Caenorhabditis elegans: one gene and its partners. The protein of the gene in region 3 interacts with the protein of the main gene of each other region in a pairwise test. Each region holds a gene or a part of one and is shown on either strand. Other genes may lie near its edges. The genes, in order: R06C1.6, ztf-16, gldi-8 and ztf-30.

The links.
Region 1: the proteins of gldi-8 (region 3) and R06C1.6 interact in a two-hybrid assay, tested with the Caenorhabditis elegans proteins (one large-scale study listed by BioGRID).
Region 2: the proteins of gldi-8 (region 3) and ztf-16 interact in a two-hybrid assay, tested with the Caenorhabditis elegans proteins (one large-scale study listed by BioGRID).
Region 4: the proteins of gldi-8 (region 3) and ztf-30 interact in a two-hybrid assay, tested with the Caenorhabditis elegans proteins (one large-scale study listed by BioGRID).

The regions. Positions count from the first base shown.
Region 1 is NC_003279.8:11,944,791-11,953,523, forward strand, and holds R06C1.6 (uncharacterized protein), read left to right. Parts: upstream 1-2,210; 5' UTR 2,211-2,224; coding exon 2,225-2,328; intron 2,329-3,182; exon of another isoform or gene 3,183-3,243; intron 3,244-3,405; coding exon 3,406-3,555; intron 3,556-5,031; exon of another isoform or gene 5,032-5,104; intron 5,105-5,354; coding exon 5,355-5,528; intron 5,529-5,757; coding exon 5,758-6,109; intron 6,110-6,636; coding exon 6,637-7,042; intron 7,043-7,199; exon of another isoform or gene 7,200-7,424; intron 7,425-7,929; coding exon 7,930-8,042; 3' UTR 8,043-8,355; downstream 8,356-8,733.
Region 2 is NC_003284.9:4,804,797-4,813,579, forward strand, and holds ztf-16 (Zinc finger protein ztf-16), read right to left. Parts: upstream 6,745-8,783; 5' UTR 6,730-6,744; coding exon 6,657-6,729; intron 6,444-6,656; coding exon 6,388-6,443; intron 6,144-6,387; coding exon 5,999-6,143; intron 5,896-5,998; coding exon 5,804-5,895; intron 5,450-5,803; exon of another isoform or gene 5,312-5,449; intron 5,094-5,311; coding exon 5,025-5,093; intron 4,861-5,024; coding exon 4,771-4,860; intron 4,709-4,770; exon of another isoform or gene 4,568-4,708; intron 3,875-4,567; coding exon 3,650-3,874; intron 3,458-3,649; coding exon 3,278-3,457; intron 3,210-3,277; coding exon 3,084-3,209; intron 3,036-3,083; coding exon 2,832-3,035; coding exon of another isoform or gene 2,748-2,831; intron 2,081-2,747; coding exon 1,898-2,080; 3' UTR 1,202-1,897; downstream 1-1,201. UniProt on the Caenorhabditis elegans protein: Positively regulates the expression of ver-1 in the amphid sheath glia of amphid sensory neurons. Together with ehn-3, plays a role in somatic gonad development and is required for proper gonadal primordium assembly and somatic gonad precursor cell morphology.
Region 3 is NC_003281.10:12,594,734-12,600,932, forward strand, and holds gldi-8 (C2H2-type domain-containing protein), read right to left. Parts: upstream 3,952-6,199; 5' UTR 3,796-3,951; coding exon 3,694-3,795; exon of another isoform or gene 3,433-3,693; coding exon 3,202-3,432; intron 3,156-3,201; coding exon 2,433-3,155; intron 1,649-2,432; coding exon 1,412-1,648; 3' UTR 1,261-1,411; downstream 1-1,260. Other genes in the region: epc-1 (Enhancer of polycomb-like protein), read right to left, coding at 5,741-5,807, 6,157-6,199.
Region 4 is NC_003281.10:8,594,379-8,600,181, reverse strand, and holds ztf-30 (Zinc finger transcription factor family protein 30), read left to right. Parts: upstream 1-2,311; 5' UTR 2,312-2,338; coding exon 2,339-2,483; intron 2,484-2,561; coding exon 2,562-2,681; intron 2,682-3,477; coding exon 3,478-3,693; intron 3,694-3,741; coding exon 3,742-3,903; intron 3,904-3,949; coding exon 3,950-4,392; intron 4,393-4,438; coding exon 4,439-4,546; 3' UTR 4,547-4,872; downstream 4,873-5,803.

The DNA of each region.
Region 1 (8,733 bases), on a different chromosome or scaffold from region 3:
TCCAAACGAGCAAAACTTTAAAACTTGAAAACTTATCGAGAAAAGTTTAACTGATGAAGTATTGCTCATGATTTCGTCTACTTGTATTCAATTGTTTAAGTTGTTTACCAGTGTAACGACAAAAAATACAACGGCCGACATCTCGTGAGCCCGTTTTTGACAACTTTTACTGATTTGGCCGTATCTCGAAAACTAAATTGTTTCAGGAAATGTTGTTATAGGAAAATAGTCTTCAGACTATTTGTCATCGTTTGTGTCTATTCACTTTGTTCTGAAAAATCCAGCAAAAAAGTTATGGGATTGCAAACTTGTCGCTCACTAGGTGCCACCTACCCACTACACCCAAAAATCAGGCTACTTAGTTCAAAATATTTTTTTCGAGCATTTTCTAGAAATAACACATGTAAAATTACAATTAAGCTATATTCAAACACAATATCAAGATTCAGGAAAAAAATTCATCGTTTGCGAGAAATGTTCGAGGCGTGGCCGTACACTATTCAAGTTTGCACTCCCATAACTTTTTTGTAGGATTTTTGAGAACAAAGTGAATAGGCACAAACGATGACAAATAGTATGAAGATTATTTTACTCTAACAACATTTGCAGAAAAAATTTCGTTTTCGAGATACGGCCGAATCAGTAAACGTTGTCAAAAATGAGCTCACGAGATGTCGGCCGCTGTATTTTTTGTCCTGGCACTGGTAAAAAATTTTAACAATTGAATACAAGTAGACGAAATCATGGGCAATACTTCATCAGTTAAACTTTTTTCGATAACATTTCTAGTTTTAAAGTTGTGCTCGTTTGTAAAATTTGTAAATTTATCAAAAATCGAAAATGGGATATGTTTTTGGCCGGCACTGTATGTCGATTTTTCTACCGTTCAATTTTTCTAGTTTTCTCGTAAAAATGAGTCATTTTTTATTAATCTTTTGCTGTAATACGTTTTCACCCACATCGCACCAGAAATTGCTAATTTCCGGCAAAAAAAAAATTCGAAAAAAAAAACGGAAATTTGAAACAGTTTAATAAAAAAAATTTCCCCAAAATGGGAAACTTTATTTATTCTCCCTTATTTTTATTTTATTTTCCAAATATTCTCCACAAAGAGATGATGATAATCAAGACGTCATCAAAACATATTCGGAAGCTCCGCGAGCACATGTGAGCTCTCGCTGGTGGCTCCGCCCATTTTCCCTCTCCAAAAGAGATCAGTTGCTCAACTGAGAGCTTATCACTGCTCCTTTTCTCTGCCCCTTTTGCCTTGTTGCTCGCGGAGCTCTGAGTTTTTTTTTCTTGCCCAGTTTTTGTTATATAAGATTTATTGGAGGCAAAATTTCATTTTCTTGTACTTTTTTATATGCTCAATAACACAATTTCCACATAAAATTTTCTACATGTCAAAAGAAAAAGTTTGGCGGCCGACATCTTGCGGGACCATATTTGAATATCAGATTTTTAGACTCGTGAAGTGCCGGCCGCTTTTTGCATTTTTAGAATTAAAAAATAAATAAACTTTCGTATTTATGAAGTCCACTGTAAAGTGTTTTCTAAAAAATGAATTGCGGCCGACATCTCGCGGGTACATTTTTGATAACGGGTTTTCTGACTATTAGCCCAGTGAGGTGTCGGCTGCTGTAACTTTTTTCAGAGTAGCGGTGAAAAAATTGATACTGAACTAATGAATTGTAGCAATTTTTATGCTTAAAATGACCAAAATTTTGAAACAAACTAAAGCGGCCGACACCTCGCGGGCCCACATTCATTTTTGTGCCCGTGAGATGTCAGCTGCCGCAACTTTTTTCAACGTGATACCAAAAAATAGTGGTCAACTAACAAATTGTAGCAATTTTCATGCTTAACATGATCATATCACAAAATTTAAAAAAATCAAGCAGCCGACATTTTGCGAGCCCATCTTTGAAAATTATTTTCTAGGCCTGTGAAGTGTCGGCTGCTAATTAAAAGCGTATATTTAGATTGTTGCCAACTTTATCTAGAAACGTCAATTCAAAATCATTCTAACAGAAGCCGTGAAAGAAATCTTAAAGTTTGAGGCCCGGCGGTGCCTTGCCACAAAAAAACTTGTTTCCCTCCATAGGGTTTCCCATATTTTCTGTCTATTTTTTTTTCTTATTTGAATTTCTAATCTTTGTTGCTGTCTTTTCGTCTCTATATAGGCTCTAATTAACATGAACTTTTTTTAGTACTTGGGCTCCTAATGATATCCATTGAAAGTTTATCGCAACAGCAAGCCGTCGGACCGCCCATGATGTTAAACGGGGGAAATGAGCACGGAGCAGAAGCCATGAGTTTTGGAAGAGGGTAAGTGAAAAATAATGAAAAGTTGTGAGCGGCCGACACCTCACGGTTCATATTTCAAATTTCAAAATTCAACAAATTTGACCCATGAGGTGTTGGCGGCTGTAACGCTGTTTAGGGTTGATTTAGAAAAAAGTATTCGAGTACAAAAATGTAGAGAATATTATGGAAAACATTTTTTTTTGTTTAAAACTTTTCTCCAAATCATCCCTGGATAAGATTCAGCGGCGACAGACACCTCACGGGTTTTCCCGATTTTCGAATTTTGTCCAGTGAGGTGTCGGCTGCTTTGACTATTTTCAAAGTTTAGTTGGAGCTAAGTGTAGAATTACAAAAATATTTAGTTTTACATAAGCTACATTTTTCCAGTTTAACCAGTTTTCTGATTAATCTCTGAAAAAAGTTATAGCGGCCGACACCTCACGGTTTTCCTATTGCTGAATTTTGGCCCGCGAAGTGTCTGCCGCTATAACTTCGTTCAGGGTCGACTTAGAAGAAAGTTTTCAACTACAAACATGTGGCAAATGTTGTATTGAGCATTTTTTCAGTTTAAAAGGTTTTTAGTTTTTGAGTTATGTATGACAGTTCTACCGAAATTAGATTTAAAAAAATATTTTTCTGCACCAAATTTTTGTAATTGTGGAGCTTCAATATTTCCGCCAGGATTACAGTTACAAAAAAGTTGTTAACTAACAAAATGTAAAGCTTAAATTTTTCTACAATTTGTCTCTTGACAACTTTTTGATAGCTCTTACCCCTGTAAAGATAGAGCGCAGACAGTGAGAGCACCTCTTACCCAACTCATCCGTGACGCTTAATATTTTCAAACTGTCATAACTCTTTAATGGTTAGAAATACAAAAAAGTTGTCAACTAGTAAAATGTTAAGCTAATATTTTTCTATATTTTGTTAGTTAACAACTTTTAAATATCTCTCACCACTGGGGAGAGAGCGTAGACAGTGAGAGTACGTGACGGCGGTCTCAAAAATTCCTCTAAAGACAATTTTTATATTAAACAAATTAAATATAAAACTCATAATCAATAAAACTCAATAAAACAACATTATTTCCATTTCCAGAATATCCAACGATCTTCCCACAGCATACGTGACGTCAACACCGCTTCCGTTGGCCAAAGCACAGCAGCAACAACAACATGAGCAACAGCTTCATCATCTCCCAGGCTATCATTCCGCAGGGCAGTCGAGAGTGATGAGTGAAGAGGAAAAGTATGTGCTTCTTGTATTAATGATTTCGATGGGAACTGGGGAGGTGAATGGGTGTTAATTAGATACATGTTTTGGTGCCACCCAACTGATTGTGAGCAGAAAAACTCATAAAACTCATTGGAATTTAGAGGGGTTTGTTAAAAGTTGGTTGCTCAATATTGGAAATTAGGCTTTGGCTCAGGCTTATATCTAGGCTTATTAGGTTTAGTCTTAGGCTTAAGTTTAGGTTTAGGCTAAGGCTTAGGAATAGGCTCAGGCTTAGTCTTAGGTTTAGTCTTAGGCTTAGGAATAGGTTAAGCTTAGGCGTAGGCTTAAGCTCATGCTTAGGCTTAGTCTTACATTTAGGCGTAGGCTTAGGCTTAGGCATAGGCTTAGGCTTATGCTTCATTATTGGAATTTTTAAGAACGTCGAATTTCGATAAATTAAAAATGTTTTTGGCGAATTTACAAGTGAATTTAAATTTTTTTTCCAGGATAATGAATGGTTTTTTCTTTAAAAAATTTCAATTTTCAGTTGAAAATCTTCAATTTAAATGTTAGAATTCAGATATTTAGGTTTCATAAATCAGGTTGAAATGTAGTTTTTTATACATAACAATTTAAAAGTAACAGATTTCTGAAAAAAAATTTTGGAATTTTTCGAAATTAGAAAAAATATATTCTAAAAAATCTTAGAAATTTTATCCCGCCCAGGAAGTGATTTAAACTTTGTCAGAAACTTTTTCACAACAATAATTTTTATATAAAAAAATGTTGAATGCACACACATCGGCCTATTTTTTCAAATTTTGCCTTCTTAACTCTCAAGTGCACGCCAAAGTGTCGTCGTCATTCTCAAGCCTTCCCGACTGAAAAAAAAACAAATTTCTAGGCTTCTAAATATACTCCACACACCCTGGGAGTAAGTTTTTTTTGTATTTTTTGACAACAAAGTTCCCAAGTTTCCTACATTCCCTCAGACACCCTCTCAGCTATACTTGCACATTGAAAATAATAGGCTAAAGCTGTCCGGTTGCCCCTGGCAATGAATAACTGATAATTTGGAAAAGGGCGTTGTAGGTGTGAGAAAGTTGGCAAAATCACGTGAAATCGCGTGACAAAGAGGGGTCTGGGAATCTCTATAGGCTAAAGTTTGACAATGTTTATTCTGTCACCTGAAGTTTGATATACTTGCACATTTTGGAGCCCCATAGCTTTGTATTTTTGTATTTCTTATAGGTCCTGGCTTTTCTCGTATAAATCCAACCAGATTCTAGTTTTCTGACCAACTACACATAATATTCGCATCTGAGCCACCAAGTCACATGGTGCTCGGAAAAATACGGCTTTACCTCTTAGAAGCCCCTTTAGATTAGTTGGAATCGATTCCCAGCAGCCAAGCTATTTTTGAATTTGAAGAGAATTTCATGCTGATTATTTTTGGACTAGGCTTAGGTTTAAGGGCTTGGGTTTTGGCTTAGGCTTTAGGCTTACTATTAGGCTTAGGCTTAGGCTTAAGCTTAAGCTTCGGCTTAGGCTTAGGCTCAAGCTCAGGCTTAGGCTGAGGCTTTTGGAATAGCATTAAGCCCACACTGCATACGAGAGAGAAAGAGGCAGACAACCAGACGCTCTGCATCTCTGCGTCTCTCTTCCCCTCTCACTCTCTAGCCATCCATTTTCAAACGCCTGAATCTCTGCGGTGGTAAGAGATATTAAAAATTTTCAAATTGAGGAAATCCTCTAAATTCCTTTTTCTATAATTTTGGTTAACATTAAAATTGTATTCCGAATTAAAGTCGAGAAAATGAGAAAATTTACAGCGAACGCGAGAAGCACGCAAAAATCTCGGTGCTCTTTGAAGAAATCCGAATAGAAGCTGCGAATATGCTCAATGGGACGATGAACGCCAATATCAAGCAGGAAGACAACGAAGATCAACCGACAGCACTGAGTGACTCGGCTCCGGTTTCGATAAACAAGAAGCTCAAGAAACGGTAAGCGGGCTCTTTTCGTAGGTCCTAATAATTTTAATGGTAGTTTAAAGTAGGAAAACACTTTTGAAGCTTTTTCGCAAAAAATTAAAGTTTCCAAAAAGCTCCAAGCAGACCTGTCTAAGCATCACTGAGCATTGTAAAAATTATCAAAATTCTGTAAAATACCTCTGTAAGCCGGAGAAAAGTCGACTACAATCTGCTCACATTATTCAATTTCCATAACTTTCAGCAAAAGCGAGTTGGCCCTGGAAATGACCGCCGATGAGGTAGACGACATCCTCGGAGACTCCACCAACTCCAGCTTCAACCCGAAAAACCCATTCGGAGGACCATCCCCGTCCGGTTTCCCAGACCTCGGATCCCCGGGATCTTCCAACTATAACCCGGCGAGCCAAAAGTCATCTCCACCACTCTCAAAGTATTCACAGAATAATCAGGGTCAGCGGAACTCTCCACCAAATCATGGATATCCGAATATGTCGCCATACATGACGTCTCAAATGAATTCCCCGATGCATCCACAACTTCAGCAGCAGAACTCGTTGACATCGTCGCCACCGGTTTCTATGCATTCGCCAGTGGTAGGATTTATATTTCATTCGACGCAAAATTTTCCGCTGATAATTTTTGCCTCTTGCCGCGTATTTCTAGCTTTAACAGCAGCAGAGATATAAAGCCTTGAAGATGGAGCTCTAGAGAGAGAGAGGACGCTCTGTCTGTCTGCGTCTCCGTGCAGCTTTTATCCCGAATATCTCGACTGCTATTAGAGACATTGAAAATTTTCCAAATTTTCTGCTCTATCATTTTTCAGCTTTATGCTTAAGCTTAGGCTTAGGCTTTGGCGGAGCTTAGGCTTAGGCGTAGGCTTAGGCCTATTATTGGGCTTCGGCTTAGACTTAGGCTTATTATTGGGCTTAGACTCAGGCTCACGGTTTGGCTTAGGCTTGGGCTGAGGCTTAGGCTTAGGTTTAGGTTTAGGCTCAAGTTTAGGTTTAGGCTTAGGCTTAGGCTTAAGGGGTCGCAACCTCAAACCTCCATATCCCCCTATCATATGAGATATCAAAAAACTTCCAACTTACCCAGTACTTAGAATTTCAAGATTTTTCAGTCCCAAGACTTCAAGTCAACTATAATAAACGGTCACGTCATGGGAGCCCACCACCATCATCTTCCCCATCACACCCGCTTCCTTCAACATCAACAAAGTGCTCCGAACCTTCGCCTCGGAACTCAAACCCCCGAGGAAGCGCTTCCTTATCAAATCAGCGGAATCACTCCGCCGGCCCGCCCGTTCGACAGATCTTTGGTCGAGGAATTTGAGATGTGTGTTCGTGCAGTTCTAATGGCTTCTCATCGTGTCTATTGTCGACATGTCTATCGTCAATTAACTGCTGAAGTCTCGGAGTTGTATGCCAGAGTTGCGAAGAATCAGGTGCCGAAGAAAGCCGTCAAGAAGATCATTGCCGCCCGGCAACCGGCAACGCCTGGAGAACGGATCGAGTTGGAGAGACAGTGTAAGTACAGTGGGGCGCGTTTGACTTCTGCTTCTTTTTTGAATTTCCCACCAGCCAGATTTCAGATTCTCGCGCCAAAATTCATTCTCAGAACATCGGTCGCAATCGCGCTCCACCGTGATTTTGTTGAACAATTTGTTCACGTGGTGTCAGAGTGTCGCATGTCGGCTTGATCTACGTAGATCTAAAAAAAATGCGGGAGAAGAGACGCAGAGTTTTCGACTGATGTTAATGATTAAGAACGTGCTGACGTCACATTTGTTTGGACAAAAAATTCCCGCATTTTTGTAGATCAAACCGTGATGGGACAGCGCGGCACCACGTGAAAAAGCCAAAAATCAATATTTTCCGAGATAATTTTTGAAATTCTCGCCGACCGTGAGTTCGGTAGAGCGCGTTTGAAAAACCCACAAAATTTCGAACTTCCCAGTTTAATGTTGATTTTGTTGGGCCATAAAATTAGAAACTAAAAATAAAATGTTCACTGAAAACTTTCAAAGTCAATTGGAGCGCAATTGCAATATTTTGTGGCGGGAAATTCCAATTTTTGCTAATTTTCCACTTTTTTGCGGAAAATTCGTGGAATTTTTGAATTCCCCGTTTTAGTCGCAAAGTCTAATAGAGCGCGCTTGCAAAGTACACTTACAGCGGGAAATTTGAATTTTTCAATGGAAAATTCCAGAATTTTCAAATATTCGGCGACCGCCTGGCGAAGTTCAATAGAGCGCGTTTACTGGAAATTTGAATTTTTCGGTTTTAAAAGTGTCTAAAATTCGAATTTCCCGCCGCACGCCCACGAGTTCAATAGAGCGCGCTTGCAAAACAATCCGATGGCGGGAAATTCGAATTTTCCAGTGAAAAACCTCCCAATTTTTTCAATTTTTCAGTCAAATGCCTTGCCGACGGCCTGGAATCTCGTCAATCTCCACAACTCTACGAATCAATTCTCAACTTTTTGTACAAAATGCGCGTCGCAATTCCAGACGTCGCTCAGCAATAAATTTTTTTCAAAAAAAATTCATTTTTCCTCCAAGTCTTCCTCTCATTTTCAGCTCGAAGATCTCTCTTGTTTTTTGGTCTGGAAATTTCTTTGAAAATCTCAAATTTGTATCACTACAGTAACTCCCCAATGATGTTCCTTTAAACTAGTCTACTGTAGTTGTCTTGTCTCCGTCTCTCACTCTCTCTCGGCCCGCAAATACAGCTTGTGATGCATAAAATCTCTTCTTAATCCGATAATTGTTATTCACCCCCGATGCTTGAAAAATTATCATATTTTTAATCTTAATAATATTAATAAATGTAAATTAAATCATAAAAAATTTTTTTTTGGAAAATCGAAAAATTTCGATTTTTTTTAGAAAACTCGAAATTATTCAATTTTTTTTCGGTTTTTTTAAAATTTTTTAGAAATTAAAAAAATCCGGAAATTGTTTTTGCTTCAGAAAAATATGTAAAAATAGAAAAAAAATATTTTTTCAATTTTTTCAAATTTTTTAAGAGAAAATCGGGCAAAATTTGATATTTTTTTAAAATAAAAAATTCTCGGAATTTGGTTTTTTTAACGATTTTTTGGTATTTTTTACATAATTTCTTGGTTTTTTGAATTTTTTCGATTTTTTGGTTTTTTTTTCAAAATTTTTCGTATTTTGGGATCATTAAAAAAAATTTTTTTTTTTGGGTTTTATTCC
Region 2 (8,783 bases), on a different chromosome or scaffold from region 3:
AAAATTATTGCAAACTGTTCAAGTCACATATTTCAACGCGATTAGTTACTGTGTCACAGCGGGATGTCAGCACAAAGGACATTAATTGAAATGTATGGAAAACTGAACAACGGCGTTGAAACATTGCGGGAAAATGAGATTCAGCAAGTGCAGTTTGTCAATTGAAGCTCAAACTTTGAAAAAGGAATGTAACGTTAAAACTTAAAAGTGAAGTAATGTATAATCAAAAAAAAAAAGTTTTATGATTTTCAAATTGTTCTATTTTCAAGTTTCTGTTCTTTCTGGGAATTTCCGTCGAAGATTGTTTTTTTATTTGTCGAAGATTGTTTTCCTATTGTTTTTTTTTGGAAAAAATTGAAAAAATTGAAAAAAAAAAGCAAACTTTGGAAAATTTTAAAACAATTTTTTACACTTCCGTCTTTGAGATTAAAAAATTTAATTAAAAAAAATAGTAATTCCTGGAAATTATCAAACTGAATATTCATAAAACGATATTTTAAAAAGCACCGGAATTTTTGTTTTTATTGTTTTCTGAATTTTTAAAATTCATAAAATGTAAAAATGTAACATTTGTTTATAGTTCAAAAAATATATTCAACAAAATTTTTTGAAAATTTTTTGTGCATAAAATTGTGAGGAAAAAATTGCAAAATTTCAGAATCCAGCAAGCTAATTTTTCATTCATCAAATTATGTGAATAAACATGAATTTTTAGGTTTAATGCGAAATTGTAAAAAAAATATGGCAAAAACTGGAAACTTCGCCAACCGTGTTTCTCAATCATGTTCTGTCAGATAACTGACGAAAGGCACCTGCAATTTGTGTTGTGATAGTTCTACTTTTTATCAATCTGCTAACAAATATAGATGCAGTTTGAAATAAAACAACAACCCATAAATAGTTCAAATGTCCTTACAAATGGCTATAAATAAAACTGATCTAGTAGTCGCTAATCTTGACAAAAATATGAGAAAGAGAGCCACTATTGTTGGTCCTGCAGAGCACAATGTTGATGCATTGGGTTCTTGGCAAGTCCCCGTGGGACACTGCCCAACTGAACCGGATTGTCCGTAGTGAGCAGCACACGACTCATAACCATATACGCTGGGCCAATGTCAATCACAGACTGCCTGCCAATCCATTTAGCCGTTTTCCTAGCCACCATGACTTTTTTCTAGTATTCTATTCTCCAGTATGTTTTCAACAAAATTTATTTTGAAATGGGAAGAAAATTGATGGGACAGTGGGACAGAGAGAAAGCTTGATAAAATTACTATTCTAATCGGAAAGAAATGTTTGGGATGGGTGGAACAGATAAGGAGGCCTTCAAAAATTCTGAATATCAGTTGAAGTTCACTAGTTTAAAATACATTCGAAGAAATCATTGAAATTGTACAAATTTTGATGAGGGGTGGTGGTGAGAAAGGAAAATAAAACACTAACAACAAAAACCTAACAATGCAAGGTTACGGAAAAAATTAACGGGTCCAAAATGACTTTTGACACGTGTGCAAATGAATTGAAACAAGATAGAGAGCAGAATCAGGAGAAGATGAAGAAAGTTTTTAAAAATGTAAATAATGATATTTGATGGTTTAATATTGATGAGAAATAGACAAAAACACGGGGCAAATACTTTTGATAGAGACAAAGAGCTGTTGAGAATCAATGAGAAGAAGCAGAATCATTCGTTGTTTCCCTGTTATGAAGAAAGAAAGTGACAAATAAAGAGGTAATCAGAATTGACTGTGAATATGCATCGAAAAAAACCGAAGAAAACCGAAAAAAAAAACAAAAATTAAAATGTGGATGAAAGAATGGGGGTGTTTTGGATTCGCTAGACTGACTACTAAAACTGAAAGGCAATCGGGGGGATATTTCTTGGATGATGGTGAATTCAGGCGGAAGTCGTTGCTTGAGTACTATGATCGGCAAAAATGACATGAGTAGTGAACATGTACTTCTCGCCGCACTGAGTTCCGCACAATGCGCATTTGAAAGGATCACCGTCCGAGTGAAGACTTTTATGGAGCAGGTACATTGTGTTGTCGTAGAACATCATTCCGCAATGACAGCATTCCTAAAATAATTCTAGAGTTAGATGCCATTAAATGAGTAACGGTTATGAGTGTTTTGAGTATATATACAGAAAGCGCACGAATTAACGAGCTTTGCAATGAAGTTTCTAACAGAAACTTTTTAAAAAGTTTTTTTTAATCGAAATTTGAATTTTTGAAAAAACCTGCCAAATTCTAGCTAAAAACTGCAGCAGTCCGAACTTTTTTTTGAATGGTATCAGCTGCTGCGAACCGGAAAAGGCAAAGGCCGGGCTTTTAGCTAAAATTAACTCTTTTTTTTTGAAATTTTTTGAGAAGTCTCATTGCAAAATGTTCAAAATACCTAAAACCTATAGTTTTCCTTTAAATTCAAATTTCGGAAGAGAAAGTTGATAGTTCTGATAAGGTGGGTGATGTAGAGAATCCATCATCCTTCAGATTTCAAAGAAAACTTGTGACATCTACGAGAAATTGAAAACCTCCTCATCAAACTATACATGGTGTAATGTTCGGTTTTTCTATCTCTTTTTTTAGATTTTTTCTCAAATGAGAACGTTCCGAAAGTTGCAACAAATTGGCAATCATTTAATCAGTCTATGTTTTTAAGGTTGATAAAACCAAATTTTGGCATCAACAAAGAAATGGATCAAAAGTCCCAATTTTTGGAAAAAAAAACTCTGTTGACGATGCTCACAATTCTAATTGCACTTCGAAAAAAGGTAAACAAAATGGTGACATTTTCAATAACAAGTTGTTATTAGCGATAACACATACCACATTCTCCTCGTCTTCTTTTTCGGGAGTCGGTGATTTCTCTTTTTCAGTTAACGAAAGTGATGACTCATTGGCTGGCGGCGAGTGCGACTGTTCACTCGGACTTGGAGCACTGACACTCACAGAGCTTGACGTCTGCTCTGACCAGAGTTGCACCTGATCCTGCTTCACAATCGCTGCCACTGCTGGAATGTTGTGAAGAGCCTGAAATGCAAAGGTTAATTAGCGAAAGTGTGAAGGTTTCATTGATACCGGCAATGGAATATTTGGAATGTTGAGCATTGGTCTTGGGATGTTTTCTCCGAATCCATTGAACTGGTTCATTTGGTTTAGACACATCAACAAAATATCTGGGTTAGCCATAGGGAAGCTTGGTGGCTGAAAATAAAACCATGGAATCATGGAAATGCTTTTTATTCAAAAAGAAACGAAAGAAAGATTCTTACAATTTTGTCGAATTCAGAACTTGTGGAGTTATCGGAGGTGTCGGTGTTTGGAGGGCTAAACTCTGATTTCACCATTCTTTGCAACTGTTCTGTTATGCTCATGTTCGCAGGATCCATTGGCAAAGCATTTCCATTCGACAGCTTCTTCCTTTTTGGCGTGTTTTCTTTTTTCGGAGAAGACTGAAAATCAGAATGAGAAATAAGAGTTCACGTTCAGGATATCACATGATGAGAGAGATTCCACGGAAAGTGCGTCTCTTGGGGCAACCGAATTAAGCTCCGAGAACGAGAAAAACATCACCTAATAAGGCTCAGGTTCTGCTCGCTAATCATGTGTTACGTTTCCGTGTAATCTGAAGTTACATCTCTTACCTCAGAATCGTCATGTCTTGTCTGGAAATGAAGGAGAAGACGTCGCGAATTGGCGAACATCAAATTACATCGCTTACATGACGCGGGATTTGTTGACGAAATTGTGTGCGTTTCTTCCAAGTGTGCTCGGAGTGCATTGTGCTGACTAAACTGCATGTTACATTGTGATACTGGACAGTCGAAACCAAAACCCGTTTTGATATGTGTCATTGAATGCTCTTGCATCTGAAAGTTATAGGTTTATTTTAAGTTACATGTTTAAAACATGACTACGGTATGTTTTTAACATCTAAAAATCGGTTTTCACTTTCACACAATATTACAATTTACAATTTTCTCTGGTTTTCTCCTCGCCCCGCAACCTTTGTCTTTCATTATAAAAACCCCTTTTGATGCGAGCGAGGGTGATGGCTTTCAACTTTTCGGGAACCAATCAGAGACGCAGCTAGAACAAAAAAAAAACCGCCGACGGTTGGTATTTCTTCTTTTTTTTACTGATTGGCCCTGGGGGTAAGGTACACAGTAAAGAGCGGCAAAAATATGGAGACATCGAGAAGATGCTAGAAGGTAGGATGGGAGGTAGGATCTTCCGAAGAAAATGCGCGTGCTATCGTCAAGGTCTTTTACTTCTCATCTTCACCAACGTCGTCGGATAGTATGAAGAATCGGAGAAGAAAGACGCGCCAACCGTTTTCATATTCGACGGCATAACCTGACACCAATACCGTCAAATTGGTTCCCCCCGATTTTCCTGTTTTCTTCAGGCTCGTCGACCTTCAAGAACGGTTTTGGGCAAACAGATATCATCAGAGCGCTTGAAGAAATGGTTGATGGGCACTGCGGCAGTTCCCTGCCATCCATGGAAGAGACTCTTCTTATTTCCGGGAAAGTGAAAATATCCAAATTGAAAACGACCTTCAGGCGGCAATCCGCCGCCTCCTTCTTCCCTCAATTTCCCTTTCCTTACGGGAGATCAGTTTCACTTTCCATTTGATTACGTAAATTGAAGATAAAACACGATTTTTGAGTTACGGAAGGCGGCAGCGGCTTCTTACGCAACAGCCGTTAAATGGTGGGGCTAGGAGGTGGAGGGTAATAAAAAATATGCCAGACAAGCATACCTGATCTTTCCTGAAAAATCGTTTTTTGCAAAAACGACACTCGTATGGCTTCACACCGCTGTGGCGCATCCGATGACGATGCATGTTAGCCTGAAAACGCAACATTGATAAACCACAGGAAGAAAGTGAAAAGGGAATCAAAGAAGAAGATCAATCAGCACGATAACCATACTTGGAAAATCCAAATGATTCAAAAGTTGTCGAGTGTTTGAAAACCAGATTCCGATTCAGAAAATGTTTTAAAAATTGCTCACCTTCTGGCTGAACTGCATTTTACAGATGTCGCATTGGTACATTTGGCCTTGATGGCGTTCATGCGCTTCCTGAAATGTTCAAGAATCTTCACTGGTATGTCATGTGATTTCTAAGGTCATCACGTTTTTTGTACTGCCCCCGTATCTGGTCTTCCCGTTTCTTTTTCCAAAAACGCCTCTTTTTCCTCCCATCTTCTTCCACCCATCCCAATCTCTACCGCTTGATGTCACTACATAACCGAAAAAGGGAAAATCTATGTTTTTTTTGGTTTGGTTTCTCGGAAGATTCTGCCTTAACCAATTAGTATGACACCGGCTCACATGAAAGGCAACATCCTTAAGAAGAAAAGCCAATATATGAGGAGCCTGCCTCCTTCTCCCATACCACTCCACTACTACTCATCCCGATGACCGTTCGGGAAGTGATGGGATTGGCCGTCGGAACAAAAAACAGTAGGGTCAAGTGAGAGACGCAGTTAACTGGACAGTAGATAGAAAGTAAACAGTAGTTTGTGAGAAAAGCGGCATGGAGCGAGTGGGAGAAGAGAAAAGGTTCACGGAGTGTTGACTTACAGGACCCACCTTACAAGGAATTGATGAAAAGTGGAAAAGAGGGAAATTGAAAAGACTTTCATATCCATCAACAGATTTACATGCTAAAATTAATTTGTACCCTTGGGAACATGCGTAATAATGTACTGAAAGTATCTTTCACTCTTCCGTCACCTATAGAACAAGAGAATGCTTTCAAGAAAACGGGTAAAAATCCTTGAACCTACCAAGTGGCTTTTCATGTGTTGCGACATACAAGTGGTGAAATTACAGTGCGGGCAAACGTGAACCGTCTTTTGTCCTTTGGTGCCTGGTTCTTCTGAAATTTTTAGGTTTCACAATTGCATATTGGTACTTGGTAATTAACCATCAATAGAAATACATTCCAGTGTGTAAGAAAATGCAATTCAAAGAAAACTTACTTTTGATGAGAGTGTTTGTGATTTCTGTTATCGAAATGTGATGTTCAAGATGTTCATCCGAGTCCGGACTCGGCGTTGGATCTGAAGGGGGCGTGGACCGTGGCGACGGCGTGGACGACTGAATACCATCTCCCCACTCGATTGTCTGAAAAGCCTTGGTCTCAATGTTTCTAACGAGTCTCAGGGGGCATGTCTGGAAGACGTGTTACAACGTCACATCCAACATCCCTCCCCTCTTCATTTTTTCCACGTTCTGTTGTTCCCTCACATATCTTCTCTACCTCTGGCACTAATTAGGCAAATATGGCATTATGACGCAACCTTTTTTCTATATCTCTCACTCACACGCTCTCACTCTTCTGGATGAATTTTACTCTCCCATAACATACCTGCGAGTTAGACATTTCTCCGCTTGAAGACCTGCTGTGCTCGTTTTCGTGCTTCTCTGCAAAAAAAAAGTATTAGGGGGTAATGTTGCTAAATGTGAAACGCAATAGAAGCGGGTTAGTTAATGGGTTGAAGCGCTCACTAAACCGCTACAAATCCGAATTTTTACGGGTTTGTCTCCGTTCTAAGATGAAAAAAAGATGGACAAAGCGCGGGTAGGTGGATGTTTCAAACGAATTGGCATTCATGTATCACCGAACAGGTTGGTTACCTATATGTCCTTGAAACTCGGAAAATACAGTAGTCGTGAATCCGCATTCTGTGCAAGCGTTCAGTTCATCCATTGTTGAGATCACTGAAATGATAACCATAGCAAAATGAAAAACCCTGACAGGGAATATCTGGTAATGAGACGAAAATGGGCGACAAAAAGAAGAACAACGAGGAAAAATAGGGGAAAAAAGCGAGGAATATGGCACGACGAGACTTGCACACAATAATCAGGTGTGTTTACGGATGGCAGAAGATAAGAAAGGAAATGTATAGGAAATGGTAACAGGCGGATATAGGAATATATGGGAAAATTGGAAAATGGAAATACTAAGAGTGACTGGAAAAATATGTATTATCGGAGCGAAAAAAGCGGAGGAGGGGGAAAAGGAGGAGCCGGATCCATAGGTATGATCACATTGACAAGCATTTACAACGGCTCGCCAAATTACTGGTTACGCGCCTGGATACGAATTTGGGGAGTAGGCAGTAATTTATGGATAGCCAGCTTCTTTAGCAACCACTGCGAGTTGGACTTGTTATGAGTGTGTTTGATTTAGCGAGAGCCTGGTCCACGGTTTTGAGAGCAGCTAGGTGACCTCGCCTAGTTGTTTGTCGTCTCGCGGCGGCGGAGGCGAAGAAGGACCGAGATACGGTTTCCGGGTTTGGCCAAACATCTCAACCCGATGCCTCCCCGTGTACTCCATAAGCTGCTTCTCCGGATTTGACTTGCACTCATAGCGACGAGCTACTGTGTGCTTACTATATTTGTAAGAGAAGTGGTAAAGTGTGTATTCGCTGGGCAGTAGGTATCTTACGGACCTTTACGAGGAGCAATAAGAAAAAAAAGTTGATGAACATTAAAAAAAACAGGAGGAACTAATATGGATTAATTATCGCATCCAGACATGGTGTGTAAGATACGAAACATCAAAACATATATACTATTACACAAAATTTGCATCATAAACACGAAAAAGAGATTTGATGGATTGGGTGGATAGGGTAAAAATGTTATAAAATGAAAATTTTCAATGATCAAAATCTGAAACCAGCACAAAAATAAGATTCAGGAACCTGAGAAAAAAGAACAGGATCTCAAGGAAGGCAAAGTAATGCCAGGTGGATTATAGCACAATTATGTTGATGATTGCATGGCTGTGTGTCTATACTGGATTACTGTCAATTGCGCGTAACCACCACTACAAGTTCGAGACTAGCAGGAAGGTGGTCTAGATGGACAGATGGTGCTAACAGGTAATTGAGATGGGTGAAGTGACTGGAGAGCAAACTCGCATCTAGTATGACGTTACGTTTGCGGAGGAGAACGGTAAGATTGCGATACATAAATCTAGGTTCTATGTTTTAGGTTCTAGGATAGGAAGAGAAATTTGGGGTGTGAGGAATGGTGGGGAGCAAATATGGAGTGAAGGAATCTCTGGGGGTGGGGCACCGCAGGCATTGGATACGGTAGAACTAAAAGTGCAAAAGCTGGCAAACTGATATGGGGCGGATTACACCTGGGGGTGGCAGGGCGGAAAAACGACTTTACGCGGATGGCAATGAAAAAATGAGATGGCGGGGATCGAGGGGGGGAGGAGGTGACGGTTTCTGAATGGCATTTACAAGAAGAGAGAAAGGGGGTGAGATAGTGCGTGTGTCGCGGGGTGCCAAACAAGCTTTTTTGGGAATACGATGAAGAAAAAAGAAGAAAAACGATGTAGAAGAAGAAACTGTCGATGGCAGCAGCAGCGGCAGTGGCGGCAGGCAGCAACGGGCATCATCTCTATCTGTCGCCCGGGGGCGCAAGATGTAAAGAAAAAATCGAGCTGCGCGCACCTCATCAGAAAAACGCAGCGCCCACCCCCACACACACACACACACTCACACCGTTTCGTTCGGAAGAAAGAGAATGAAAAAATTGGAGAGAAGGCACTGGGGGAGAGGGGATGCCGTTGCGGGTGGCCTAGAAGGTCGGCAAGGTTAAAGTGAAGACGACGGGATCTTTTCAGACCATACTAGCTGCAGCAGGGAGACTTCCTCCCTCTCCGCACTATGTCTCCTCCTTACGATGGAGAAAAAAACCCGGTTTTTTGTGGCAGTGAGAAGAGCGTCTGGAACATAGTAA
Region 3 (6,199 bases):
CCTATGAATGCTGTCGATATTTGAATTCCTATCTTATGGGAAGAAGGCCTTTCTTGTGGGAAAAACGGAGTTATAAAAAAATATACGCAGGTACAGAATTTGAACTTTTCTTCCCATGAGATGGGAATTTGAATATTGGCATTCAATAACTTCACTAAGAAAAAAAATCTCCAAAGGTTGATCGCAAATATGTAGAGATTGCTCGCATCCCTTCAAATATTACAAAATTTTCAAGTTTCTTAGAAATAATCTTCATTTAGATTACTGAAAAATATCCACAGATTACTTTTGAGTTGCCTGAGAAGTCAAAGTAAAACGCAAGACGAGCTCAAATGTATTTTGATAAAAGTGGCTATTTAGGCTTAAGCCGCGCCATACCGCCGGTGTGTCATAAGGATTTCCAATATTTTATTCCAGTTGGGCATCCTAGTATGTTTTTCGGGCCTTTAGGCTTAAGTGTGTCATAGGTACAGAATTCGAACCTTTCTTTACATGAGATAGGAATTTTATATCAACCAAATTAACCCTCCAGTAGAGTGGGACCTTTGATGAATATAATCACTCTGATGATATTTAATTCCGATGATTAATCCATTTTTCTTTCTCTCACATTTATGAAGTAAAAATGATTACTAAATTAAGGCGTGATATTCTAAGGTGTGATAACATATGATATTTATTTTTAAATTTAAATAAAGTTTTTTTTTTAATTTTTGCTAAAGAACGAATAGTTTACAGCCGCCTCGCTCAAATGTATTTTGATAAAAGTGGCTATTTAGGCTTAAGCCGCGCCATACCGCCGGTGTGTCATAAGGATTTCCTATATTTTATTCCAGTTGGGCACCCTAAGTCTAAATAGCTCTTTTTCTTTTCTTTTGCGCTCCAAGCGCAAGGAAAAACCTTCTTGTAACTTTTTAAGAGGGTTTCATATATTTTATTAAAATCGGGGCGAAGCCCTGATTTTAATAAAATATATGAAAAATCTCTACATAGCGTCAGTGGGGGAGCGTTAGCTAAGCCAAAAAAAAAAAAAAGCCAAAACCAAAGCCTAAGCCAAAGCACAAGCCTAAGCCCAAACCTAAGCTTTAGTCAAAGCCTGAAATCAAGCCTAAGCCTAATTCTAAGCCAAAGCCTAATCCTAATATTAAGCCTGTTCGTAAAACTAGGCCTGTTCTCGGTGAGACAACTACCCAATATTTTTCAATGTCATCAAGCTTGAAATCCGCTGGCTGGAATTAATTTGCAGAGGAATAGGCTTCACGCATTTTAATTCATTTATTGTGTTGAAATCTCTACATGAATATCTAGTAAACTCGGTTGGAACCCGTTCGGACCGGTATTTTGAAAATAAAGGGGGGGGGGGAGGTGGGAAAATTACAGCAAAATCTTGAACATTTGAATCTAGAGAAATTTAGAAAATATCGTCCATTTCCGGTAATTCTTCCAATGCTGATCGAGATTTGGGCGCATCCTTCTCATGAACTCTTTTGATGTGCTTCCTCAATTCTGATGGAACCGGATAGGATTTGTGGCAAATTGTGCATTCAAAGCGATTGGATTGTGAATGAACACGAGCCTTGTGTGTTGACAAAGCGGTGACCGTTGTGAATCGTTTTCCGCATTCAATGCAAGCATATGGATGCTTGGGCTGAAAATTTTAAATTTTAATTCATTAATTTTAAATTTTCATTCATTAAAGGTGGAGTAGCGACAGTGGGGAAATTGCTTTAAAACATGCCTATGGGGTCACAATGACCGAATATCATGATAAAAAAAATTCAAAAAAAAAATTAAAAATTTTATATGATTTTTTGAAAATTGAAAAAAAATCTCGAATTGCATCAATTTCCCATTTAAACTTCCCGCCAAGTGATTTTATCGATGGAGCGCGCTTGCTCGTTTTTATTTTAATTTATTGTTATTTTTTCTTATTTTTCGCCGATTTTTCATGTTTTCAGTGTATTTTTATGAGAAATTTGAAGAAAAAGCCAAAATAATGCAAATTCTCGATTAAAAATCAACTTTACAAGCGTAAATCTGTGAAATCAAATACTACTGGCTCCAAATCGTTTAAAAGTGGTACTTCTTCGTTTTTACGCTTGCAAAGTTGATTTTTAATCGAGAATTTGCATTATTTTGACTTTTTCTTCAAATTTCTCATAAAATTACACTGAAAACATGAAAAATCGGCGAAAAATAAGAAAAAATAACAATAAATTAAAATAAAAACGAGCAAGCGCGCTCCATCGATAAAATCACTTGGCGGGAGGTTTAAATGGGAATTTGATGCAATTCGAGATTTTTTCAATTTTCAAAAAATAATATAAAATCTAGAATTTTTTATCATGATATTCGGTCATTGTGGTACCATAGTCGTGTTTTAAAGCAATTTCCCCACTGAGCGTAGTCCACCTTTAAATTCTTATCCTTACCGATTCAGCGCTAATGTATCTCACAGCCGTGACATTTGGATCGTTCTTGGCATCTGGATGTTTTCTACCAACATGCCGGAGCATTGATTGTCGGCTCGCGAAGCTCTCTCCACACACTTGACACGATTTATCCCTATAGGAGACTGGGCTTGTGATTGGCCCAGGCTGACAGCTTGAGAATGATGCATAACTGACGGTGGAAAGAGCTGGGCTTGACGGCAAACTTTGTACTTTCAGAATCTTCGATACTCGCTGTTTTTCAATAATTTTCTCCCTATTCTTGCAGTACCATTCGTGAGTTTTGACAGATGTTGATGGGAATAGCTCCTTGCAAATCGAGCACGGCGCCTTCCATACTTCAAGTTCATCCGCATCCTCTTGATGATGCCGGATTATGTGACTTTGCAACGATTTTTCAGATTGAAAGACCAGTGAGCAGTTGTCGCATTGGATTTCCTTGAGATGGAGGGCCATATGAGCATCAAGGTTCTTCTTGCGCTTATAAGCTTTTCCGCACAGCTTACAACGATGCTTTAATCTAGACAAATCATGCACTTGATCAGTGTGAATCTGGAGAGCTTCAGCGTTCGGGAATGCTTTCGAGCACATAACGCAAGTGAAAATCGATCCAGCAGTGTGTGGCTTCAACAGAGAATCTTCCAGCTGTTGCTTTTGCTCGACTTTCCATTGTGATTGGCTCATTCGGATAAGCGATTGAAGTTCCTGGAATAAAAAGTTTCAGTTGCAAATTAAAAAAAAATAATCTTACCTTCGCCTTCTGCTCAAGCTTCTCATCTCCAGAATCGTTTAGCCTGCGCTCGATCCTTTCTTGGAGGTCTTGATAAGCGTCTTTCCGTTCGTAAGGATACTTGATTTGGACATCTTCCTCTTCCTCGTCTTCGGATTCAACTTCTTCAGCTACCTCGGGAACTCTTCGGTCTTCCGGCTCAAATTCCAATTCTTCAATGAGTTTTTGGAATTCATTGACATTTTTGTTCTTCTGAAAATAAAAAAATAAGTAAAATTGGTCGGCGGTAGTGAGAAGACCTCAGCATAAAGCATCTGAGTAGGTTTAATTTTCCCAAGTTTGAGTTTAGTTTTTTTGGTTGGTTTAATTGGTTTAATTACATTTTTGTTCGAGGATAAACATTGTCACTGACACACCCAATGGCTTCGAATAGTGTTTGCCGAAAAAACACAAGATTTGATCGAAAAAAAAGCCATTTTTAAAGAAATTTGACATTTTTTAATAAAGGATAACCGTTGAAAAGTTGTTAGCGTCCGCTTCAGAATTTGACGATGATGAGCAGCTTGTCACAGGAGTTAAATCAGCGTACGACATTGGATAATCGTAAATCTCCATTAAAAATGAAGAAATAGCGCAGAAAATTGACGAAACTGGTTGTGTGTTCACTTCGAAAATCGATGAGCGCGTGACGAAAGAGGGGGGAGACGCGTCGCGGTCGTGCGACGCGTGCAGCAATGCTTCGGTGTTTGCGGACTTGCTTACCGTATACCTGGAGAAAATTGCGATTTAAAAAAAAAATTTTACATAGTTTTTCTAGTAAAAAAAGGAAGAAAAAATGGATCTGTGCATTAATCCTTTAAATTTTCGTCCAAATATTTGATATAATTAAAAGAAAAACTCAAAATTTCTCTGAAAACCGCATATAATTTTGAAGAAACTATTACCATTAACTTTTTTTGCGCGCCGATACCCATCTGAAAAATATTGTGCACCTTTAAAAACACATTTTTAGACTGGAGAAAGAAAAAAATTCGATTTTTTTAAAACTGTTTTTGGAGAAAAAACCAAATTTTTTGAAACTACAGTACTCCTTAAAGGCGCATACCTTTTTCCGCATTTAACAAAAACAATTTTCGTGTCGAGACCCCCGGGGACCTTAGTTTTGGACTACAGTAATCTCAAAGTCCTATTCAATTGGATTGGAAAAACGAAAGGGAACAAAGAATTCTTCTTTTTTCACTTTTTCGACCTTTCTTCTCTGCGTCTCTCCGATATTCACACTATTTTTTATTTCAAAAAAGTATTGCACTTTTCATGGCCACCCACTATCTTTTTGGCGCCCAGGTGGCCTTGGGAGGGAAATTTTTTTTTTTTTTTAATTTTTCGAAAAATTTGAATTTTTATGTCTGTTTGCTTGTGTGTGTGCGTGTGTGTGTCTATAAAATGCAACAAAAATGTAGGTTCTTTTGATTTTTATGATTTTTTTGTCATTTTTTTTTTGAAATTCTTCAAGTTTTTTTTTTTTGTTTTTGCTGGTTTGTTGCTGGAAAAATGGGATATTCCAATCACAGGTATAGGGGATAGAAAAAAAGAGAAACAGAGAAAATGGGGGACAAAAAGAGAGAGGATTACCGCGTGCAGAGAGGTCGTTTGTGTGGTTTTTTGAATTTTTGTTGGAAAAATCTTTTAAAAAAATAATAGTAGGAGATTTCGAGAGAGAGAGAGAGAGCAAGTTTATTTATACAACAGTACTAATATTGAGGGGAAAATGGGAAAAAATTTTGATTTCGGGGGAATTTTTTGTTGAAAAAATCCAAAAAATCCAAAAATCCACACACAAAAAACCTCCCCGAACACAAAAATTACACCAAACAGTGGGGGGTGGGGAAAAAAAAAGACGACCTCGTAATTGTTAATGAGGGAAATAAAAATAGTTTCGAAGATCATTAAGAAGAGACTGAGAGAGAGAGTGGGATTGGGCGGCGGCGGGCGTTTCGCGGGACGAAAAATGAATCCCGCACGATGAAAAAAAAAAAATGAAAAAAAAAGGAAAAAGATAAAATAGGATATTTCAACTGTGAAAAAAAACAATAGAAAATGATGATGGGATGAGATTTTTCACAGCTCAAAAGCTTGAAACCCACAGAAAAAAAACAACGAATGGAGGGGAGGGGGGAATCATTTTTAAAAATATATATTACAGATATAAATGTGTACGTATATTATATTAAAAATGATTTTTTTTTAGAGAATAAAATACTACAGAAAACACGGCTCAAGTGAGAGTACCGAGATGATGAGACACATATTATTGGGTGGGTGGTTGCAATATTAAAGAATCGCAGATTTTTCCAGCGAATCTGATTATTCGGTCGGGGATTAGGCAGCGGACAGAGTGGGGGTGTAAATACATTGAAATATTTGAGAATCATGGGAGAGAGAGAGAGAGAGAGAGATATGCACAAAACAATGAATGACCATCAAAAAATCTCAGGAGGATTGAAAATTGGCGATGAGCAGCAGTAGCAGCAGTAGCAGAAGCAGCAGCAGAGAGTTCAAATTATAGACCGATTGTCGACGGCATCATGAACTTTTTCCGTTCCAGCAGTGTTACCGTTGACATCGAACTGAAAAAAAAATACGCGTTTTGAGAAATGTGCATTTTTTTTGTTCTTTTTCGGATATACTCCTCTGACAAAAAATAAAATTTCCTGAGCAAAGTAAAACTCCTACGTATTCTTGCATAGAAATTAAGGATCTTAAAGATTCTTGCTACTCAGAATTTTCTGAAAATTTCAATTTTTTAAAAAGAAAACTCAGAATTTTCTGAAAAATTCAATTTTTTAAAAATAAAACTTGCTCGAAATCAAATTCTCAACAAATTTTAATTTCAACAGTTTTTCAAAAACCGTGTAAAACTTTTCAAATTTGCTCTCAAAAATCAAAAAAAAAAAAAGCAAAGAAAAACTAACGAACTCTTTGATGGAATGATCTCGTGCTCCTCTAGCCGGCGATGGTT
Region 4 (5,803 bases), 4.0 Mb from region 3:
CTAGTTAATATCGAAATTAGTAGTTATAATTATTAAGCTTTAATATGGCGGCATGGAACTTCCAGACTACTGAACCAGGTAAAATAGGAAAACGATGTATGTTTTTATATTGATTACATTGTGGTATAAAAAGAAACTATTATCAGATCTTCCCACCAAACTTCAACTTTATCTAAAATTCTAAAGGAACTTACTTCAAAAAATTTGACGTACTCAACACTTCGGTACACATAGCCATAGCCCCGCCCTTTTTAACTCAATTGCGTCAGAAAACATTTTTTCCACATGTCTTGCCTTATCTCGAAAACTGATGCTTTTTCGATCCTGCACAAATGAGGCTGTACGCGTCGTCACGGCTCATCGCCAAATTCGCTCATCAAATCTGGGAAGCGGCTTAAAACCAATTGAAGCAAGGATCATCTTGTCGATGGGCAGGATATACCATCCGAGTATCCGCCTATTTTTTTTCATTCGGGCCAACTTTTTTTTGCTGTTAATGAAAACTAATACGGAAAACTTTTCAGGAACACTAGTGAATATGGTGTCATTTCAGAGGTGTCAACTTTTTTCCAGAAAAAGGAAAGTTCCAAATTAGTAGTTTGTGAACTTCTATCACTCTGAAATGGAAATGTTTCCTTCTGCTAATTTTAAGGATGTATTTTAACAAGTAGCAACCCAACTGCCGGAGCTTATGTGTTCGAAATAATTCAGAACCCATTCCCCACTGCCTTCACATGCTTACAATTTATTGAGATTTTCTCCCCAATTCTAGCACATTTTTTTTCCAAATTCTTTACTTCCACTTCATCTCACCTAGCTTCTCCTGGAAACCTTACGTCATTCCTCTAGTCTGTATCTCTTATTCTTCTATACTTTCTCATCTTCTCCGGTTTGACCTAGTCTTTGCGTATTGACACTTTCGTCTTATTCCCTTCAATCCATTGCCGTCCGTCTTCATCTTTTTTCCGTCTTAGCCGTCTTGGTGACGATGGATAATTAGCGGAAAGGATAGGTGTATTGACAGTTTGACCTTGTATAGTTCATAGTCACGGGTTGCAACATTTCGGTGCCACGTCATTAGGCTTATTACAAGTGCCTAGTTTTAATCTAATGTTTATGGTCTCTTTTTGGGATATGGGAACCAAGTAAACTGAAATTTGCACGGCTTTTTCATTTGTTAAATCTAGAAAAAAGTCCCTAAAGATGTGCCTTTTTTGCAAACACTCCCCCGCGATTAAACTTTAAACCTACTTAGTTTTCTTATGCAAAATCCATCATTAAACCTTTTTTGCTTCACTTTCTTAGAAACAACTTGTCCGACGATTTTGAAGTACAAACCATAAACTTTCTTCGAAGGATTTTCTTTGGATTTTAAAAACAGGTCTCTCAAAAAAGATTAGAAGATTATGCTTTAAGATTTGCCCAGATGATCAAACAATGGCTGATGAAATTTTTAAATCTAGCTGTTTTAACCATTTCATAAATTTCAAAACAAGAGACTATGTCAAAACTTGAATACACTAATAATAGTCCAACATGACCAGCATTTTTTAGAGTTTTCTAAAAACTCCAGAGATTGTCTTTTTAGAGTCTCCTAAAATAAGTGAATACTGACAAATTGCCATTTATTGGCTACTCAACGTTCACACTAAGTTCTTCTTTTTTCTACGAAAGAGTTCAAAATTAAAAAACGTCTTCTAAATAATGGAGCAAAGAGTCACAGTTTGGAAAAGCCTCCAAACAAGTTATTCTTGGAAACTGTTGCCCCAAAAATTCTGTAAATATATTAGGTACGCGAAACCAGGCAATAATGTTGAAAGATAATACTACGATTGCTGATTTCAAGCTCCTCCGATTTACTTTTAAAATTTGAAGCTTCTCACACACACGTTCTCATAAAATTCCCGTGCTCCTGCTGCTCCAAAACATTGAATGCAATGATTCATTCGTTATCTGAGTTAATCTACCGTATCCTTGCAGCACATTCTATTTTAGAAATTCAAGTCATTCTTGTAAAATGATCTGGATTTGGGATTACATGACATACACTAAAAAGAGAATGGATCATTCTTACCGTCAGCGTCATTGATCTGGATGCCTGTAGTTAAGCTTTTTTTATTACTTTTTGCATCTTTCTTCTTCCTCCTCCGTCATCATAATGGCCTTTTGCCTGCACACATTGAAAAGTGCCTATGTGCTCAAAATGCTATGAGCTCACACATCTTTTCTTTCATTCGATTTTCAGATTTTTTACTTCCTCATTTTATCTGCCTTTGTATTGTTTCATGTGTCTTCATGTTTCATGATTCAGCTCAAAATCATGCATCTTGAAATGGATATGAAGCTGGAAGACGATAAAATTCATTCACCCACAAATACAGAGGAGGAAGGTTACGGTAGTGACGTGGAGGTTGAGAATGGAACTGATATCAGTGGATCCAAAGGTGGAAGTGGTGTTGAGTTAAAACGACCCGATTTAAAAGGTTTGTAAGTTCTGGGAATTGTTATTAGTCCACCAAATCTGATTAGGTTCTTACTTTTATAATGATTCTGAATTTCAGGTTCGTTCCGTTGCTCAATCTGTTCAAAAGTTTTCTGTCATTCTTCAAGTCTCTCCCGCCACCGTATGCAGGCTCACTTCAAAAGCTACAAATGCACAGTATGCCGAAAAGATATCTCAAGTAAGTCGGAAGTTATTTATTTTTTATTGACAATGAGGTGATCTTCCGAGCATTAAGAAAAATCCTCAATCACAGATTTTTCGAAATTGAAAGAAAGATAATCATGACATTTGATACAAGAATGAGCTGCACATTTGAGCTGAAAAGCTGCTGGAGACAAAAATATGAAATAGAATGAAAACTTGTTCGATCAGGGACTCAGAGAGCTTTTGCTACAAAAATGTATTAAGCTCCAGTACATCTTTTGATTTGATCTCCTCATTTCCCGGGTTTAGCAGGGATACTGTAGAACATTTTGCAGAGCAAAATTGTGCAGTGCAAAACCACTGCTATATTTTAAAGCATCCACCTATAATATTTGAACAAGCATATTGTTTACACCTGAATTGTTTATCACATGAAACACCGCAAGAAACTCGTTTTTATTGTTGTTCGGGTATAAGCATCTGTATGAACAATTATTGTTTACTATCCATCCACTCTCCGGAGAAAGATTCCTCTTGATCTCATTCAATTTTCACTGTTTCTTCATTCTCCGGACGATTGAGGTCATCCGGAGAAATACGAAATAGTGGAGACGCAGACGCAAACACAGTTCTCACTTTTCGAGAACGGGGACAATTGAATGAGGTTGCGCAATGGATGAGAGTGGGGGCAGAAGGGAAAAAAGTGGAGGATTGGAGCGAAATTGTAAGGGGTCAAATAATGGCTTTGGGATAAGTAGACAAACTTTATAGGAGTACTGTATTTGAATTGGGGACTTTGAATAATAATAAAAAACTATTGTAATTTGCAGGTAGTGAATCTCTTCGTACTCATATGTTCAAGCAACATCATATCTCTCGAATGTACATGTGCCGTTGCTGTAATTGGGCTTTTCCTGATAAATCACTTCTTCATATTCATCTACAAACTGCCACTAACAACAATGACAGCAACAACAATAATAATAGTGTCATTCCTCATGGAGTTATCAACAGAAGCTGCCACCTCATTACAGATCCATTCCAGTGTAAGACTATCAGATATGAGATGAACATAAAAAGATTATTGATTTCAGTAATCCGTACTCCACTTCTAAATCTACCAACCCCACAATCCCTTGAATCATCAGTACCTTCTCTTCCAATTGCAAGCATCCCAATCCCTGCTCTTCAATCGCCTATTCGATCTCAACCTCAGACACCTTCATGGCTTGCAAATCTTCCAAAACCCATACCTAGTAAGTTACATACAAAATATTTGTAATGCTTATGATAATATTTCAGCTACGGCACCAATATTTGTAGCAGATTCAAAAGAAAAAATAAAAGATGAAGTGGAGAAGCCCGATGTGTATACTTCACAGTCACCAACTTGCTCATCAGTCAGCTTCAAGTCTGATCTTAGTGCATTCCATCAGTTGTGTTCTGATCGTGCTCTTATATCATCTCCATTGATTGATACAGCTTCACCATCCTCATCATCTTCTTCTTCAAGGATCAGTCCACGTCATGAATGCTTCGACTGCCACGTCAGCAGGACAAAGATATTGATTTCTGAAAATAAATGCAAACTGTTGGAACACAAAATTGGTACGATGCAACAAGAAAGTTTAGAAGCAAATGCCCAAATGAATGGATTGGAACAAACTGTGCTCAGATTGAGAATGGAAGCACACGCGCTCCGTGAGCACAATGAGCTATTCCAAAGGAAATTGTTAGAGTGTCAGGTAAGATTTCAGATCAGAAAGAAGTATTTCAAAATTATTTTTTCAGAATCTTGCCGTGAAATTTCTTCAAAATGACAAAGCTCACGACGCCTCGGAAATGAATTCATTTCTTCGAATTCTCATAAATAACACAATTTTGACACGTCCTTTTTAGAATTATCTTTTTTCCAAATTTCTCTGAAACCTCAAACTTCGCAAGCTTTACTATCATGTTAATATTGTTTCATTTTTGGAGATTTCTCATAATTTTCGCAATATTTTTTACCAATCTCAGAACTATATTTTTTAACTTATTTCTTCCTGTTTGCGGGATTTTTTGCTTTTTATTTCCAAAACAAATATTAAACAAACAAATCAAAATCATCCGATCCGTTGTGTTCCTTCTGTGTCTCCATCTCCATAATTCTCAGTGCTTACGTTGAATATACATAATTGTAATATAATAATAATACATACTTGATATAAATTTAAATGCTGTATTCTACGTTTCTTCCAGGAAATAACTGAAACTGATCAGAGAAAGTCAAGAAAGTAAAAAAACAGTATAGAAAGTTGAATAATGTGTGTTCCAGAATTTTTGGTACTCTTTCAAAAAAAATTTTTTTTGAAAAATACATTTACAAAAGACGTAAACGGATTTCTTATCCAGAATAAACAAATAACTAAATAAATCCTCTGCCAAATATCCATGGTAACTGAAATCTGAGAAAGCTCATTTCTTAGCTCTTTAATTCCAACAAAAAATCGATGTCCATTTTCACTTAAAGCGACCCAAAAATACCAAATTTAGTCATGAGCCTCTACCAATATCCTGAGCTCTGTTTTTTTTAATGTTAAACTCTGTTTCAGCTAAATTCTCAAATTTCGCAAAGTCAGTTTTCATCAAATTATTATTTTTCATAGCAATTTTGTCATTATTTTGTGGGTTGTTTCGTTGATGTGCTGATAGGTGCTCACATTGAACATTGTCATTGCTGTCAAAATTTGACCATTTCAGGAAAAAAAAACTTGACGAATTTGGAGCATTGTTAATTTATCTAGGAAAATTAAAACAATAGAGTATGGGGGTAGAAAAATTAAATAGTATTGAGAAACATTTTCAGACGACGCTGTCAGAGTTATGAAATCAATTCAAATTGCTATTAACATGTTTGATGAACTTGTCTGAACAAGTTTTCAAAATACATACAAAATACAATACATATTCTGTTTAAAAGTTAAAAAAAACATAATAATTTGAGATACTGTGGTATTACGGGACTGTATGGATTTGGTAACCGTGCTGTAAGTTTAGTACAGTTAGGTACGGTAGGGGATCTTTGGAATACCAGACAAGCAGACTATGTTTCTAGTCTTTCATTTTTATCTTCCTATTCCTCCGGCATGCAAAAAATTCCAGTTCCTTGTTACT